3 linked regions of the Caenorhabditis elegans genome follow. The protein of the gene in region 2 interacts with the protein of the main gene of each other region in a biochemical or structural test. Each region holds a gene or a part of one and is shown on either strand. Other genes may lie near its edges. The genes, in order: ify-1, wwp-1 and cyb-1.

Region 1 (4,468 bases), on a different chromosome or scaffold from region 2:
GAGAAGAATAATAATACACCTGTAGTAGCAAACGGAATTGAAAATCGACCAGTTAGCCCATATGAGCAATTACCGGTGAGCTTCAGTTTCAGAATTGTTATGAGAGCGTAGAAAATGCTTTAAAGCTCCGCCCACGATTGATGGGTCTCGTTAGGTATTTCAAAACCTTAAACTCAAACACTCTGCGAAACTACTTGAAAACATTTGTGTTTACGGTTTACCTAACAAGACCCAACTGTTGGTGGCGGAGCGTTTTCAATTGGCAGTTGAGCACGTTTCCAAATCGATTTCAAAACATTTTACAACATTTCCATATTATTGGATTTTTTCTCACTTTTCAAGTTCAGATAAGCTCAAGAGATTCTGGAAAACGTAGGAAGAAGCATGGCAGAGGATCCATGGGACGTCATACTTTGGGAGTTGATGTCCAATGGCTCAAGAAGCTTGTGACCAAGAAAGAAGATCAAAAAACTGCTGACGACATAAGGTTTTCTTGCATTTTAATTTTGAAAATTCCAAACAAAGTTTAATTTTTTCAGAGGTGATGTCAGCTTGAGTTCCGCAAATGCCGATCGTAACACACTTCGCCAACGAATCAGAAGCATGTTGGGATCGAATCGTACATTATCCAATGTTGACCAATCCACTATGAAAATCTCAATGAAAGCCACCAATGTCTAAACACCTCGTCAAATGTATATTTCCATACTTATCCTACCACTGAGATTTTGCTATCCCGATGAATATAATTTGCTTCCATGTTTTTCACCCGATCTTTTCGATATTTTATCACTGCGCAGTCATTCATTTATAGGAAAGAAAATTACAATTTTTGCCAAATTTGTCTTTTCTTGTATTCATTTCTTTCGAAACGGAAAACATCCGTTTTTTCGCTTACGAGTGAATTAAATAATTTGAAACAAATTTCCTCTCAATCGTTTTTGCCTCGGTAAATGTCGAATTTCTGTCAAATAAATACTTCAATCCAACACCTGGAATATTAGATTAATTCAAACAAATTCCAAAAATGCTTCGCGAATTTTTTCTATGTCTTTTCATAGTAGACATCAAACGTCTTTCCGTACATATTTTTCGGGAAAAGCTCCTGGAAAACTTTTTATAAGACAAAAACATCTGAAACAGTTATAAAATACATTGATATACCGTTTCATTGTTCAGAGAATGGACATAGAAAATTACCAGTGGGGGGAATGATTGTGGGGCGAGGGTGATTTCGCCAATATATGTAAAACAGGTAGAAGAGGCTGACGTCGTGGGAAATCACAGGGGAAGGTTGGCTTCTTCGGCGAGGAGGTCGTAACTATCCAAATCGTCCGCAAGCATCGAAAAGAGTTCATTTCTTTCAGCCTTACTCATTTTCACTTCATCAATATCAGCAATAACAGTCCGATGGCGAGTTTCTTCGAGTTTCACATCACCTTCTTCCGCGAAATCCTCTGTTCTGAGCACATAATTGAAATCGTCGCCAATTCTTGAAGCTGGATCAATTGGTGGATATGAGTCCCATTCCTCGACTCCCAATTCAGCAAGAGCTTCTGCTTCAGACTCTGCCGGATCGATAACGTCTCCATATGGCCGATCTTCAGAAAGTACGACGTCTTGATCTTCCAAATTAAGCATATCGTCCTCAATGTCAGCAGCTAGCGAATCGAATGTTTCACATCGGTTTGCAGTGTCGATTGGAGAGCATGGATGTTTTTCGGTCTAGAAAATGATGAAAATAAAAATTATGAAGCAATACTTTTAATTGTTTTAAGATTAAAACTTCCGTAGTTTTCTTTTCTTTTAATAATTATGCTGGAAGAAAACATCACCTTTTTAATGGTGGCCACATCGGCAATCTGATCATCTGTCTCATCTTCATAACATTCAAAAGCAATTGGAATAGTGTTCTTCTTGGTTGAAGGTGGCACTTTACAAGCCGATGCCAAGCTCTGAAGCGATTTTCCGCCAGGAGTTTTTGACGAGTTTACAACCAGCCCCAAACCGCCACGAGAAGGTGTCTTTTCAAGTTCATTTTGTCTGCCTAGCTTTGCACCTAAAACAAAGACGTTATAAGTAAAATAAATATATTAAAATAAAACTTACTGAAGTGTTGTTGCAAGGAGGCTGGTATCTGGGTGCTTCCTCTTTCTTCGAAGTTTAGATCCTCCATTTTGACTTGTGCGAGTATGAATAGCTAGAAAGTACGAATGCCAGTTTTCAATTAGTAGGAATGAATACAAAAATTGTTTCGATGATGCAAAAGAATTTAAATTGTTCACGTTTTGCCGCAAAAAGATGGAAACAAAATGTGAAAAGGAAAAATCAATGATTTAAACTAGCCGGCGTCTTCGAAGTGCCATAGAGCGCAGATGCATAAGAGGGAGGTACGCACAGCTGAAACGAGTGTGACCGTAGTTATTGTCGTGTTGGGACGCCGACTTGGAAAATGAGTAGAGTTCTCGGCCTAAATTTGCTTCTTTTCTGGGTTTTACCTTCACGCAAGCTTTTTTCAGCAGATTTAAAACAATTTAATATTGTGTAGCTTTCGAAATCGTTTTTTGTTATTTTCATGATCGTTTATTCCTGAAGATGCCGATAATATTTTGTAAGATCTCAATTTTTACTTTCAGGTAATCATGGTCCCAAAGCCACACGCCAAGTCGGCCAAGAAGGCTCTTCGCAAGAAGAAGGTGCACCTCAAGTTCAACGTTGAGTGCAAGAACCCAGTTGAGGATGGAATTCTCAGAATCGAAGATCTTGTAAGTTGTAGGCTTTTTAAAATTAATCAGCCTCATCAAGTCGATAGAGTTCCCGTCTCTATCGCAAGACCAGGCTTAGGGTATATATTGGTCCCTAGTAAGTCCCGGTTGTTTTCAGGAAGCCTTCTTGAACGAGAAGATCAAGGTCAATGGAAAGACCGGACATTTGGCCGCTAACAACGTCAAGGTCGAGGTCGCCAAGTCCAAGGTCTCAGTCGTCTCCGAGGTCCCATTCTCGAAGAGGTAGCATTTTATTCAATCAAACTTGTTCTCATATTTTTATATTCAGATACCTCAAGTACCTTACCAAGAAGTACCTCAAGAGAAACTCCCTCCGTGATTGGCTCCGTGTGGTCGCTGTCAACAAGAACACCTACGAGGTCAGATACTTCCACATCAACGACGGAGAGGACGCAGGAAGCGACCACGAGTAAACTCGGTTTTTTGTTGTTGGAATAAATTGTTGTTTCAAATCAGGCTTCATTAGAAAAACAGCAATATGATTATTATCGAGTACCAGTAGGGAATGAGTGGTGAAGATGATTCGAAATCGGAATTTTGATGCAAAAATTTTCTTATCCAGGTTGTAACTCTGTTATCCTCCCCTGGTGGTATTTCGCAGAACTCGTGGATGGGTCGGTCTGGCCGGGATTCCTTTGCTTTGTTTTCGAATGTTCGCATGTCGCAGAACTGTTCTCCTCGGCATCCCTTGATTCTCGACGTGACAGTTTCGAAAGTTGAATGAACATTTTTCTGATACAGCACCTGCAATTATGCGATGAGATGGCATTATGAATCGAAACATACTCTGAAATAGGGCTTCTCGTCCGTTTTATTATGGAACAGTTCGATCGCGATATCTGAAGCATAGTCAGGCCACTCGCCATATTTCTCAGGTCCTGCAACAATATCCTCAATTCCTAACACAGCGAGGAGAGCGAATACTGTGTGATCATGCTGAAATTAAAATGATTCTATTATACAAGTACAGAGGAGTTGTGATTACTGTAGAGTAAGCGTAGTATTTCAGATTTTTGTGATAATTGTCACATTTGGCTTCATTTTTAGCACAAGTTGCTTTCGTTCTCATTCTTGCAGATATATCGTTTATCATTGGGCCACCCCGTGTTTTTAAGATTTCTCTTCGTACATTGATGCCTTGAACAATTGGCGGATCATAAAGTCCCGTAACGAATGCTTTTGAAGGTCTTTCTAAATCGTCAAGATTCTCAAAGAATTCATCAGAATACCATGTTTGATTTAGTACAGATTCTGGAAAGTGAATTTTCTGAAAATTAAATTTTAAAAGGTTTTAAAATTAAGTAGACCAAGTACTTGAATCATAACAGCATCATGAACTTGCCACATGTTATCCCATGTAAATGTTTGATTAAATAGTTCAGACAATAATAAAGTTGTGTTCACATACTGGAATTAAATTTTTAAATTATAACTGGTTTCACTTCTCATACCTTTTCAGATTGTACATAACTCTGAAACTGTTCTCCCTCGTGTGCTATTTTCAGAAGTTCATCTCTGCGCCTACAAATACAAAATGCACTAGCAACACAATCTTGACCAGCCGGCCCAGCACTATGAATTGGTACAGGCATAAAACCACGTGGCCATCCTTCTATATCAGGATAGTCGATACCTGGAATGCCAAAACTACAAAAGTCATTGTAAATTAAAAAAAAAATTTT
Region 2 (8,405 bases):
GCTGCAAAAACTTTGCCAGCAAAAAATTTTGTGCAAGCACGCTCCATCGCACAGTTTGAACGTCGCGGGTCGAAGTTAGATGTGCAGGTCATATAGCAAAAAGAGAAACACCCCTTTTTTTCTCGAGAAGTTTCACCAATTTTGCGCGATTTTTCAACTATTTTTTTGCTTTTTTGGCTTAATTTTGGCTCAGATTTTCCTCAAAAACATGAAAATCCAATCTAGAATAAGTAGTAATGGGTATATTCTAAGATTGTGCAAAAGTTAGCTTGAATTTCCTCGATTAAAGCTTTCCTACCAAGAAAAATGTGTGGATATTTTGAATTTACAAGTTTTTCATCTTTTTTTTGTAATATTCTCTTTGAAACTCCTGTTTCTCTCAAATTTGTAAACTTTCATAAACGTTTTTTTCAGGGTTACCACATTAAACAATGACCGGAAGCACCGAAACTCGCCAGAAGGAAGTCAAGGAGGTTGGTTGTTCAAAGTGACGTCTAAAATATTTAAATTTCTATATTTCAGCCACAAGTTGACGTTTCGGATGATTCCGACAACGAGGCCGTCGAGCAAGAGCTCACCGAGGAGCAAAGACGTGTGGCCGAGGCTGCTGGACTTGGAGATCACATCGACAAGCAGGCCAAGCAAAGCCGCTCCGAGAAGAAGGCCCGCAAGCTCTTCTCCAAGCTCGGACTCAAGCAAGTGACTGGTGTCTCCCGTGTCTGCATTCGCAAGTCGAAGAACATCCTCTTCGTCATAAACAAGCCAGACGTGTTCAAGAGCCCAGGATCTGACACCTACATCATCTTCGGAGAAGCCAAGATCGAGGATCTCACCCAACACGCCCAGATGTCTGCTATTGAGAACTTGAAGCCAACTCGTGAGGCCCCACAACTCAAGACTGTCGAAGAGGACGAGAATGAGGATGTTGAGGTAATTCAGTAACTTAATCGGATTTATTACATTAATTGTACGGTTTAAGGAGGATTCCACCGGCATTGAGGAGAAGGACATCGAGCTTGTCATTTCCCAAGCCAACACCACCCGCAACAAGGCCATCAGGGCGCTTAAGGAAGCTGACAATGACATCGTCAATGCCATCATGAGCCTTACCATGTAGCTTGTTTCCTGATGACCTTGCAGATACTCTTGTTATCGTTGTATCTCTTGCTTATCCCGTTTTCCGTTCCAAGTAAACGTTTATCAGTCTTTTTTAACTTTTTTGTTATGTTTAAAAAACAATTGCATCTTCGAATTGACCTACCTTTTACAGAAAAGAACAATTAAATCACTGTTTGTGTAAAACACCCCTCTATTGATCGAGAACTTTCACTTCTTCCAATTCTTTACTCGTATGACTGTGATTCATTTCACCTGCTATCACTTTATCATGACATTCCAGTTTATATCAACAGCAAATACCAATTGTGTGTATGTGAAAAATGCTATTGAATAGCAAGCGCGCCCCAACAAACACGTTTGAATGCGCGGGCGAAACGGCGTTAGATGTGCAGGTCATATGACAAAACGCATCGACCAGCAGCCAATGGCAAGTTACTGCGAGCTGTTATAGATTTTTTCACATGGTTTCCAGTGTTATCAGTTGGAAATCGATCGATAATACTGACTAGTAGTACTTAACATCTTCATTCCCACCGTTTCGCTGTCATTTGTGATACGTGGATTTATTTTTCCTTTCTCGCCGACTTTTCATTTCTAAATCTTTTCTGGAATTGCGAAATTTTCAGCCAGTTTCATGATCGAATGGCTCGTAATGAACCATCATCTCAGCAGCCGAGTAGTTCCGGGAGTAATGGAACTCCAGCACAACAAAACGGGTCGGCAAAACCATCAAAAGTCACAGTAAAAGGTAACAATTCGTAGATTTTTTGCATCTGTTCTAATAATATTTCCCCCTCTTAATCATAGTCGTCAACGCGTCGTTCACCAAGGCAGCCGACTGCTATGTCGAAATCACGAGTGACACGTCATCGGCGGCGCCAAAAAAGACGACTGTAAAGAAGAAGACGATGGCGCCCGAGTGGAATGAACATCTCAACGTTCATGCAAATGAATCTTCGACAATTTCGTTTCGTCTATTGCAAAAAGCCAAGCTATTCGATGACACGTGTCTAGGGATGGCGAAGCTGAAGCTTTCGAGTCTCACAAGAAATGAGAATGGAGAGTGTAAGTGGTTTTATTGAAATTTTCTCAAAAAATCTATTATTTCAGTCAAAAACGACATCAACAATATATCTTTGCTGGCCAAAGACTCCTCGAAAATCGGAACTCTCAACATAATTTTCTCCGGATATCCAGAGCGGAAACGAAGAAGCGCAGGAGTACGAGCTGAAACCGCCGCGTCTGCAAGTTCAGAGGCATCCACGTCAAATGGCGTTGCCACGTCATCCTCGGCGCGGAGACCGGCGACAGCGAAGCGTGACACTTTGGCGGCTCCAACGGTAATCGTGACGAGACCCATTTTGAATTATTTAATTATTCATGAAACGCTCTACTGGAGTGTTCATAATTATTAGAGCGCGCTCGCGCGGCACCTCACGAACTCCAGAATTCGCGAGGACAGCAGTTTTTGGCTATTTTGGCTTCTATGGAAATTATTTTTAATTTTTTGATTTAAAATATTGTTGAGAAGCATCATCCAAATTGAAAATGTGTAAAATTATGAAATTTGACCGAAAACTGAAGGTTTTACAGAGAGGAGTCACCACGGCTTTCTTTAAAAAGTATCAGTACCGTCAGTATTTCGATTTCAGAGTCGTAAAATATGTCATTTTGTAGAGAAACGTCTGTTTCACAAAAATCCATGTTTGATATTTTAATTGTTTAATTTCTAATATAAAAATATTCAAAAAATCAACAAGTTTACGTTAAAATCGAATTTTTCAATCGTTCAGTTTTTAATAAGAACAATTTCATAATTTCAAACATGGATTTTTTTGAAACAGACTTTTCTCTACAAAATGACATATTTTACGACTCTGAAATCGAAAAAACTGACGGTACTGATACATTTTAAAGAAAGTCGTGGTGACTCCTCTCTGTAAACCTTCAGTTTTCGTTAAAAATAATTTCCATAGAAGCCAAAAATAGCCAAAAACTGCTGTCCCCGCGAAACGAAATCCCGCGAATTCTGGAGTTCGTGAGGTGCCGCGCGAGCGCGCTCTAATAATTATGAACACTAGAGGAGAGCGTGAATGAGCGTTTTTTATTCTTTTCTCTGCATTTTTAATGCTACAGAATCATACACAAAATGTTGTCAAATACATGCATTACTCTACTACTCTTAATGTTTACTTTTCATTTGCAGAGTACCGCAGCGGCGGCAGCAGCAGCAACAGCAGGCGGCACCCCGGCCGCCGGAGCAGAAGAACAGCTTCCCGATGGATGGGAGATGCGTTTCGATCAATACGGACGCAAGTACTACGTGGATCACACCACCAAGAGCACCACGTGGGAACGCCCGTCTACTCAGCCATTGCCACAGGGATGGGAAATGCGAAGAGATCCGAGAGGAAGAGTGAGTTTTCCGGCGGAAAAAGCAGATTTAGCACGAGAAAAGCGTTTCTGATTATATTTTTGATGCGAAAATCATCAAAATTAAAAATATCTACCGTAGCCGCGGATACCTGGACCAAAATGCCGAAAAAAGTGACCTGATAAATTATTTTAAGGCTAAAATCTTGATTTTTACATAATTAGTGTCTTATTTTTGTTGATTTCTTGTCAAATTTTTGTAATTGCATCGAAATAGGCCAAAAATAAAGTAAAAATCAACTTCCAACACAGAAAAACTGACAAAATTGAAGATTTTTGCTGAATTCAGGCAATTTTTCGTAATTTTGATCCTCCATAATTTTTTTTTTCGAGAAAATTTTGAAATTTTTTCTTTAAATACGGCCTGAAAATTAGGAAATTATAACGACGGATAAAAAATTCTGATTTTCTTTATTTTAACCAAGGTCTCCAATTATTTGATAATCGAAAAAAAAAAAACTTTCCAGTGATTTTTACTTGAAAAATGTCTAAAAATTCACGCCAGGTGCACAATCCATTTTCAGGTGTATTACGTGGATCACAACACGCGCACGACCACCTGGCAACGACCGACAGCCGATATGCTTGAAGCACACGAACAATGGCAATCGGGAAGAGATCAGGCGATGCTTCAATGGGAACAACGTTTCCTTCTCCAGCAGAACAACTTTAGCGCCGACGATCCACTCGGACCATTGCCCGAAGGATGGGAGAAGCGTCAGGATCCGAATACGTCGAGAATGTACTTTGTGAATCATGTAAATAGAACGACACAATGGGAAGATCCGAGAACACAGGGGTATGTGAAAATTTTCAATTTTCCAATAATATTTCTATCAAAAATCACAGTTTTAATGTTTTAAAAGTTTCAGAGGCTCCGACCAACCTCTTCCGGATGGTTGGGAAATGCGATTCACCGAGCAAGGCGTTCCATTCTTCATCGATCACCAGTCTAAAACCACCACCTATAATGATCCAAGAACCGGAAAACCCGTCGGCCCGCTCGGCGTCGTCGGTGTTCAAATGGCCATGGAGAAGAGTTTCCGGTGGAAAATTGCACAATTCAGATATTTATGCTTGGTAAGGGAGGGCGAGAAATTCTTTGATTTTAGCTATAAATTGATGTAAATTTCAGTCAAACAGTGTGCCTAATCATGTCAAAATCACAGTATCCCGTAATAACGTGTTCGAAGACTCATTCCAAGAAATTATGCGTAAAAATGCAGTCGATCTACGCCGGCGGCTGTACATTCAATTCCGAGGCGAAGAGGGTCTCGACTATGGAGGTGTCGCCAGAGAATGGTTCTTCCTGCTGTCGCACGAAGTGTTGAATCCAATGTATTGCCTATTCATGTATGCTGGTAATAACAATTATAGTCTTCAAATCAATCCAGCTTCATTTGTTAACCCGGATCATCTTAAGTATTTCGAGTATATTGGACGATTCATTGCCATGGTGAGTGTTTTTTTTTAATTGAAAATCAGTTGAAAATTGGATGAAAAATTGCGAAATCGAGAGAAAATCGAGTTTTCCGCTTTTTACAATTGAATTTTAAAATTTTAAACGTTAAATTTTGCAGAAAATTCCAAAAAAAAGCACTTGGATCTAAAATTTTTGTTTTTTGATGAAGGAAATCCTTAAATATCGATTTTTTTTATTTTCAGCTCAAAAAACCTGGAAATTTCGATGATCTCAAATTTTCAGATCAATATATTTCATTTTCTCCTAAAAATGTTATTTTTATTTAAACAAATAGTTTTTCTTAGAAAATTCCTTTATTTTCAAATTTCCAGGCGCTATTCCACGGGAAATTCATCTACAGCGGTTTCACGATGCCATTCTACAAAAAGATGCTCAACAAGAAGATTGTTTTAAAGGACATTGAACAAGTCGATTCGGAAATTTATAATTCATTGATGTGGATCAAGGATAACAATATCGATGAATGCGATATGGAGCTCTATTTTGTTGCCGATTACGAGCTGCTCGGCGAGCTCAAGACTTATGAGCTTAAGGAGGGCGGTACAGAGATTGCTGTTACCGAGGAGAATAAGGTGAGATTTTGGATTAGCTAGAGCTTATAAAAATAATTTTTAAATAAAATAATTTAATTTAAAAAATCCCAATTTTCCAGCTTGAATACATCGAACTGCTCGTTGAGTGGCGCTTCAATCGCGGTGTCGAACAACAGACAAAAGCCTTCTTCACCGGCTTCAACTCGGTCTTCCCGTTGGAATGGATGCAGTATTTCGATGAAAGAGAGCTCGAGCTGTTGCTCTGCGGAATGCAGGACGTTGATGTGGACGATTGGCAGAGAAATACTGTCTACAGACATTATGCTCCACAGAGCAAGCAGGTAGGGGAGAACATTTGATTAAAACTTCTTTTTTTTTAATTAAAAAATACATTTATAGGTAACCTGGTTCTGGCAATGGGTTCGAAGTCTGGACCAAGAAAAACGTGCCCGGCTCCTACAATTCGTCACAGGAACGTGCCGTGTGCCAGTCGGTGGATTTTCCGAGCTGATGGGCTCGACGGGACCACAACTATTCTGTATCGAGCGTGTCGGCAAGGAGAACTGGCTCCCACGGTCGCATACGTGCTTCAATCGACTCGACTTGCCGCCATACAGAAGCTACGATCAGCTCGTCGAGAAGTTGAGCATGGCGATCGAGATGACGGAAGGATTTGGAAACGAGTAGTCTCCCGTTGTTTTTTTTTGGTTTTGCTGGCCGCCTAATTATTGTATAACCCTCATATTTCTTCTCACCCACACCCCATTGATTTTCCTTTTTTTTCTCTCCATCAATTAATGTTTCTTTTTTTCGAATTTGTGTGATAATTTTCGTGTTGTGATACCACTTGCTTAGGTTCTCTCTCTCTCTTTCCTTTCCTTCTGGGTATGTACCTATATTTAGAATATAGACAAAGCATCTAGTTTTTTTGGATTTAATTTCCAAATTTCCCGTTTAATTCCAACAACAAAAAAACAATTCCACCACTTTTCAAATATTTTTTTTGTGTCCATTGCTTCATTGCTTTTCTTCTTCTCAACCATTTCAACCACCACCACCCAATCTGCGCCTTATTCTTACTTGGTCCTTGTCATTCTTAGTTCCAGTTTTTTTCACGGAAGCAGCTCTCGATTATTAATTCAAATGCATCCCCCCAACCAATCCGTCACCCCCCGATTAGAACAATTTCTACTTTTTTTTTTGAAAACAAAAAAAAACACAATTCCTCGATTTGGTTGTAATGAATTTAATTTTTTAAATTTTGAGCCTTTTTTGTTGTTTTAGGTTTTCTTAACTTTCAGAATTTCCATGCGGAACACACGGAGAGCAGAAGATCAATATTTTGAACCCTGCAGGAGAAGGACGGGACCCTTTGGTCACTCATGTCTCGGCTGTCTGCGTCTCTCCTCTCTCTCTGCACCAGCGGAGAGGATGGATAGCCTCATTCGTTTTATTTCGGACTTTCGATTTTTCTTATTGCTCCACGTTTTAGCTTTTATCAGATTCGGGGAGCTCTTGCTTTTTTCTTGATTTTTTCGTAAAGTGTTCTTGGGTCCCGCAGCGAAAATTAACTTTAAAATGATTTTTTAAAAACTTTCTAAAAATTCATTTTTTTTTCCATTTTACGACTAGAAATTTCGAAATTTGAAAAAAAAAACCGTGTTGCAAATGCGCTCCAGCGTACAAAACAAAACCGCCACCAAAAAATTTAAATTACTGAAAAAAACGATGAAATTTTGAATTTGTTTTGCCATTTTCCGGCAATGATTTTTTAAATAAAAAAAACTGTACAACAAATGCGCTCCAGCGAACTAACCTTCAAATTACCGAAAAAAATTATAAAAATTTGAATATTTCCGATTAACCCAAGAAAAGAAAAATTCAATGATTTTCTTGAAAAAAGTTATTTTTTTCTCAATTTTTCGTCAATAATACTCAAAATTTGAAGAAAAATTGTGTAGCAAGCGCGCTCTAGCGAACCAAACAAAATGTCTCCATTGAAGCGTTTCACGAGGTTCTGGCCTACCTCATTGAATTTTTCGCGCTCCATTGACAATCGCCCGCCGATAACGCGTGGGAAAGTCGTGTACTCCACACGGACAAATACATTTAGTTTTACTACAAATATCGAGCCGCGACGCGACACGCAACGCGCCGTAAATCTACCCCAGATATGGCCGAGCCAAAATGGCCTAGTTCGGCAAAAACTCTTCCATTTCAATTCATGAGGGAAGCCAGAAATCCGTGATCCAAGTAAAAAAAATCCCAAAAATTTCAATTTGCAAGGGCGCTCCATTGAAAACTGTGGCGCCGATCGCAACTCACGGTCGAATTTGAATTTTTAGTTGAAAAAAAAACACCAATTTGAACTGAAAATTTGAATTTTCAATTTTTTCCCTAAAATAAATTGTTCAGAGTTTCGCTGTCGAATTGTTGATACCCGCTCGTCAGAATTGGAAATTGAGAAATTGAGAGAGAATTAGAGAAGGAGAGGAAGAGGAACTGCTCACTGGTCCCCTCACTCCATCCGAAATTAGGCACTTTTTGCTCCGGCGGCACTAGAAGACGAAGAAAAAACGACGAGCAGAACACAATCAATTTCGTCTTCTTTTTTATTTTTTTTTGGTTTTTTCTTGTTGGTACCACGGATTTCTGGCTTCCCTCATAAATTGAAATGGAAGAGTTTTTGCCGAAATAGGCCATTTTGGCTCGGCCATATCTGGGGTAGACTAACGGCGCGTTGCGTGTCGCGTCGCGGCTCGATTTTAGTTGTAAAACTAAATGTGATTTGTCCGTGTGGAGTACACGACTTTCCCACGCGTTGTCCGGCGGCCGAT
Region 3 (5,310 bases), on a different chromosome or scaffold from region 2:
AAAAAGACTACATAATCGAGTTTGTTTATTTCGTTATTGTTTTCTCAAACAAAACAGTAAAAATATATGACAGGGTATTTTTTATTTTTCAATATCAGTCCTATTTTATTTCCTTTTTTACCTGGATATTTTGAGAGCGCTCTCCAACGAAATTAGACACTTGATCTTCGGAATATCGAGATTGCTTCGATTTGTTACTGACACGAGCCCCATTGAATCGAGAGATGCGATCTGGAACCTTTGGATGAGAAATTTTTCTAGGCGAAATGAAGAGAATGTATAGTGCAACATACAACACTTTTGAGATCAAATCCTGTAATAGTCGATTCATTGATTTTGAGAAGCGTTTCGTAAATACAAATTATTCTTTGAAGATCTGCAGCTTTTGGACCGAGATCTTTGGCAAGTCGATTTTCTTCTAAACGCAGCTCTTTCTTTTCTGATCTCTTTTCTCGGCCGTGGTTCTGAAAAAAACGGAAAATTATTATTTCTGGAATAAATTATGTGCAACCTTTACGAAAAATCGGCAGTCTGATTGATGAGGATTATTGCTGGCACAGTATGCGGCTATGAGAAGATATCTGAAATAAAAATTTACTGGAATTTCTGGAAGAACTACATATTTTCTGTTGAGTATTTTTAGATACCTCATGGCGAGCGGCATGGCATCAAAACTGTTCTCGTTCTCCTTGGCCAGATTCTCTCCGACAACATTCCCGAGCTTTTCTCCAGATGATCTATTGAGGCATTCTTTTGCCAGTGTAGAGTCGAATTTATCGCCGGTTCTCCGCTCATCATACATTAGCCACGCATCAGATATCTGGAATTGTAGTGATGGATTTAACATTGTTTTTAAAAAACTTACAATTGATAGAAGAATATTCGGTGACTTGCAGGCCATGAACAGTGACTGGCAAGCAACGTGAAGAAATTGCGCGTTGATTTTTGGATTTGCACGAGAAATAAGAACTTTGGTAGTTTCTACTGATGGTGCAGGTATGTGAAACTCTACAACTGGAAGATGGCTCAGATTAATGTGATATTGGTTCAAGCAGGATGGTGCACTCGTCACAAATCGAATCGTTATTTCTTGTATAGCTTTGTAAGAATCGAATAAGCATTGTAATGGAACAGGAGGATAGTCTGTTATCGCTTGTGCATTATCAAGAAAAATGACAATTTTTCTATTAGTTTCGTCTGGCCTGAAAATATTTAAAATTTAATTAACAAGAAAATACACTTACCATTGGACATATTTATACAGGTTATCGCAAAAATTCTCAGCTCTGTCACCTCTAGTCTTGAAACCTAAACTCGATGCCAGTGAATCGAATAACAATTTCAGCGATCCATCCGCATAGAGGAAGTCTCCAAGCACACAAACCTATAAAAATAGATTGTGAATTTTGAAATTGTTTGAAATTTTTAATTGTTTTGAAATTGAAGTTGTAAAACACGAACCCAATCGTTTTCAGGTTTTCTCAGAAGTTGACGAACAATTTCACTTCTTCCGCTTCCATCTTCTCCGAAAATGTGGACATGAGAAATAATTCGCGAGTTGTTAAATAAGAGCATTTTTAGACGTCTTATCTCACAATTTTCCATTTTGCTAAAAATAAAAAACTATGATATGGATAAAATGACTGATTTTTCAGCCTTGAAATAAAAACAAAAAAAACTTTCTTCCAGTAAAAACTGTTTTCAAGTTGGCGGGTATTCAATGGAGCAGGTTTACTTGGCTAAACTAAGCGCGATGCGAAATAACGGAGTGTCGTATTGCAGCGCGAACCTTGAAAATAAAATCATTTGCTCTTGAAACTTTGCGATTATTAAAGTTTTGATCGGATCTCCCTCAATTTTTCGGCGCCAAGAATTTATTTTTTGCAAAAACCTTCAATGGAACGATTATTTTCCAACGCAGGTTTCCCTATTTGAATCTTTGCCACATAGACCGGTTCATTTTATTCATTATTCGATTCTTGAACAAAAACAATCTTTTTTTCTTTGGCTTATCGTTATCAAATACCTAACTTTGGAGCTTTATTAATATTCTAGGTTCATTTGTAATTCATCTTTTAACGTCTGTTCTTCATTCATCCTAGGTGACATATTTAATCGATATTACCCTTCGCGATTCCCCCCTCCTACCACCAAGCACCATCTTGGTGTGGGGGAGTTGCGCTCCGTTGGACAATCGCTGCACGCGGAACATTCGAATCCCATTTGTCGATATTCTTGTATTTAGTGCAAACAATTCTTAATAGGCTCCTCACGTGACCTTAACATGTTCGCCGTGTAGAAACTATTTACACGTTGTGTTCTATTTAGATAAAATCATAACCTTTCTGTCAGATTTTGTAAAACGTCCAGTATTTCTCAACTTACCAATTTTCTACTAGCAATCAAAGGTTCTTTCTCACTTTTTATTTTATTATCTCTTGGAACTTGCAAACAATCGTTTATTGCAGCGAAAGGCCTCAATATGCTAAGAGCCACCAACAACAGACGAACATCGAATAATGTGGAAAAGGATAGCCTCCAGGTACAAGGTGTTTACAAACTAAAAACTATAATTATCATTCAGATGGCTAAGCACGGAAACGGACCATTGAAGCCCGTCAATGCGCAAGGTCTTCAGACGAAAAGAGAAGCTCGAGAGATTCTTGCACTCAAGCCATCCAATCCAGCTCCAGTCGAAACTGCGCAAAAGTCACAGAGAATCAACCTCCAGGATGCTGAGACTAAATGTCTTGCTATGGCCGACGACATATACAAGTATCTCGTTCATCACGAGAAAAAGTATCTTCTTGAGGAGTGCTTCATGGAGGGAGGAGAGCCCACTCCCAAGATGCGTCGCATTCTCGTCGATTGGCTTGTCCAAGTTCATGTTCGATTCCATCTCACACCTGAGACACTTCACTTGACTGTCTTCATTCTGGATCGCATGCTTCAGAAGAAGGTCACCTCCAAGGCGGATCTTCAGCTTCTTGGAATTTCAGCTATGTGAGAGTTTTTATTCAATTTTAAAACGTAACATATAGGGATTACTAATTGTGTATCCTTTAAAAATGTTTTGTTTCAGGTTCGTTGCCTCCAAGTTCGAAGAGGTTTACCTCCCAGACATCCACGACTACGAGTTCATCACTGAGAACACATACAGCAAGAAGCAGATCTTGGCAATGGAGCAAACAATCCTTAACTCGTTGAACTTTGACTTGTCCTGCCCATCTTCGCTTGTCTTCCTCCGCTGTCTCTCAAGAATTCTCTCCGAAAACGATGCCAGCCCAATCGATAATCAAGCTTTCTGTTATACTTACAATATCTCCAAGTGTCTCGGAGAGCTCGCACTGCTCGATTCGGTTATGGCCTCGACCCCAAGGTCCCACATTGCTTCTGCTTCGATGATCATCGCTCTTGAAGTTCATCCTGTTGACGGAATCGAGGCGGAGAATGCTGTATCGGTCATTTGGTACATTTTAAAGCTTATATTTTTATTTTAATATCAACATTTTTAGCAAACAGCTCGGAGCCTCTAAGAAAGTCATTGAGGATGCTGTCGCTTTGCTCGCCGAAGTCTCGTATAAGAACTTCAAACAGGGGAAGCTTGTCGCTATTAAGGTATTGAATCATCGAAGTATTCCAATAAACATAATTATTTGCAGAATAAGTATCAATCAAGCAAGCTTGCACAAGTTTCCAACTTGATGACCGACGACGTACTCGAGAAAATCAATCGGATGGGCCAGAATGCAAAAGTGGACGCATCAGAAATGGAATGAGCACTTCGATCCGAAATAAACATTTTGTACCATTCAGTCTTTCTTGATTCTTATGTTTCTTCCTTCATTGCTTTTCTTTTCGGCTCCTTTCCATTTTTTAACTCCTCCAGTCGTTTCCACGTCAATCTGGTCACACCCGTACATTGATTGTAAATTGGTGAACATTCGTTGAGCGACCATACACCACCTCCCATATTATTCAATTTGTCCATTTTGAAATTTAAAATTTCACTAAAAATTTTTATCACAACTTTTCGCGCCCTCTTTTGTATCGATCTCGTATTTAATTATTGAAACCACACTGCTGTAAGACTCACCGTCCTCATCTCTGTTGTTGTAACTAGAAGGACCAAAAACTTTCTGATGAAACCTATGTGCTATTAAATTTTGTTAAATGGAATTACTATAAATCATGTACTAAATAAGTGATGGAGTAGTCTGAAGGTTCTAGGGGGTCTCCTGCGCAATGACGCGACGAACTTAAACCAGTCAACAAGCATAAAAACAAGTAGGCTCCACCCACTTTAACCTTGAATTCTGTGTGCCGAACCCGGGGTCAAGTGGCTTTTCGGCCAATTACTCATCGGTTTGTTACAGCACTGGCGGTCACTTCTCGCCGAATTTTCTCAAAATGTGTAATAATGAAGCTGCAATTTCTCTGCGTATCAATCTCTAACGCTCTGCTGTAATGACTACAAAAGTGACCATCGAAAACGAGAATTTCATACATTCCACTCGAAATGGTTCATTCATCAGTTCTAATTGTTCTTTCACTGACTGCTTCTTCATCTGCATTCCTTCTAGAAGGACTCGGTTTAGGATTAGGTCCACAAAGACCTCAACAATGCTGCTGTCCACCACCTCCACCACCTCCACCATGCGGAGGCGGATATGAAGCTCCACCTCCACCACCACCACCATCATATGCGGGTGGACCATCATACGCTGGACCATCTTATGCTGGATCCTACGGACCAGGACCATACAGAGCCAAGTCAAAGAGATCAGTTGACATGAAAGCTTCAAGTGGAGATTTGTTCTGTAATAGTGTTGAAGTTAGAGATATTATCAAGAAGGTATTGCATTTGAAAGTAACTAGTCTATATTGAACATTTTCAGGGAATGACATCAGGTGAGAAGGAGTCACGTGAAACAATCACTGCTCTCCTGAAAACTGAAATGAACCGTGAATATGTTGTGATCTGCACAAAGCAGCCATTCGAATACCTCGCTTCTTCCGATTCAGAGTTCTGCTCAGTGACAAATGATTCAGGAATCACTTGCTCTTCTTTCGTATTCTAGATGCTCAAGCTCTATGTACAATTACTATACGGAATCTCAGGAAAAATCCCCAACTTCTTTCGTTTTTTTTGTTAAATATGTATCACATGACTGAATACTATCTTATATTGGAATTGATAAACATTTTTAAAACACAATCAAACACCAGCGGAAAATACAATAATTTTATTCAATACAAAAATCAATGAATCTCTTTCCCATTTGCTTCAGTTATTGCATTCCATTCAAG

Evidence for each region.
Region 1: of the proteins of wwp-1 (region 2) and ify-1, one has a biochemical effect on the other in vitro, tested with the Caenorhabditis elegans proteins (one study listed by BioGRID).
Region 3: of the proteins of wwp-1 (region 2) and cyb-1, one has a biochemical effect on the other in vitro, tested with the Caenorhabditis elegans proteins (one study listed by BioGRID).

Annotation. Positions count from the first base shown.
Region 1 is NC_003280.10:5,052,980-5,057,447, forward strand, and holds ify-1 (Securin-like protein), read right to left. Parts: upstream 2,201-4,468; 5' UTR 2,177-2,200; coding exon 2,110-2,176; intron 2,060-2,109; coding exon 1,836-2,059; intron 1,726-1,835; coding exon 1,282-1,725; 3' UTR 1,156-1,281; downstream 1-1,155. Other genes in the region: F33G12.6 (PPM-type phosphatase domain-containing protein), read left to right, coding at 1-75, 348-487, 540-681; rpl-22 (Large ribosomal subunit protein eL22), read left to right, coding at 2,643-2,765, 2,884-3,008, 3,055-3,199; C27A2.12 (Histidine acid phosphatase), read right to left, coding at 3,249-3,530, 3,573-3,722, 3,772-4,053, 4,101-4,193, 4,238-4,419. UniProt on the Caenorhabditis elegans protein: Acts as a chaperone and as an inhibitor for separase sep-1. Plays an essential role in maintaining chromosome cohesion prior to meiotic and mitotic anaphase, in cytokinesis and in organizing the spindle and the centrosome.
Region 2 is NC_003279.8:535,377-543,781, forward strand, and holds wwp-1 (E3 ubiquitin-protein ligase wwp-1), read left to right. Parts: upstream 1-1,745; 5' UTR 1,746-1,761; coding exon 1,762-1,867; intron 1,868-1,926; coding exon 1,927-2,184; intron 2,185-2,229; coding exon 2,230-2,459; intron 2,460-3,325; coding exon 3,326-3,535; intron 3,536-3,709; exon of another isoform or gene 3,710-3,866; intron 3,867-4,076; coding exon 4,077-4,351; intron 4,352-4,418; coding exon 4,419-4,632; intron 4,633-4,687; coding exon 4,688-5,008; intron 5,009-5,346; coding exon 5,347-5,607; intron 5,608-5,687; coding exon 5,688-5,909; intron 5,910-5,967; coding exon 5,968-6,255; 3' UTR 6,256-6,822; downstream 6,823-8,405. Other genes in the region: icd-2 (Nascent polypeptide-associated complex subunit alpha), read left to right, coding at 432-473, 523-930, 980-1,117. UniProt on the Caenorhabditis elegans protein: E3 ubiquitin-protein ligase which accepts ubiquitin from an E2 ubiquitin-conjugating enzyme in the form of a thioester and then directly transfers the ubiquitin to targeted substrates. Ubiquitinates klf-1.
Region 3 is NC_003282.8:10,732,974-10,738,283, forward strand, and holds cyb-1 (G2/mitotic-specific cyclin-B1), read left to right. Parts: upstream 1-2,468; 5' UTR 2,469-2,482; coding exon 2,483-2,542; intron 2,543-2,584; coding exon 2,585-3,003; intron 3,004-3,082; coding exon 3,083-3,469; intron 3,470-3,515; coding exon 3,516-3,618; intron 3,619-3,662; coding exon 3,663-3,779; 3' UTR 3,780-4,200; downstream 4,201-5,310. Other genes in the region: orc-5 (Origin recognition complex subunit 5 C-terminal domain-containing protein), read right to left, coding at 122-231, 294-464, 512-581, 648-820, 866-1,202, 1,245-1,384, 1,462-1,605; grl-21 (Ground-like domain-containing protein), read left to right, coding at 4,520-4,855, 4,899-5,081; ssp-34 (Sperm-specific class P protein 34), read right to left, coding at 5,306-5,310. UniProt on the Caenorhabditis elegans protein: Essential for the control of the cell cycle at the G2/M (mitosis) transition.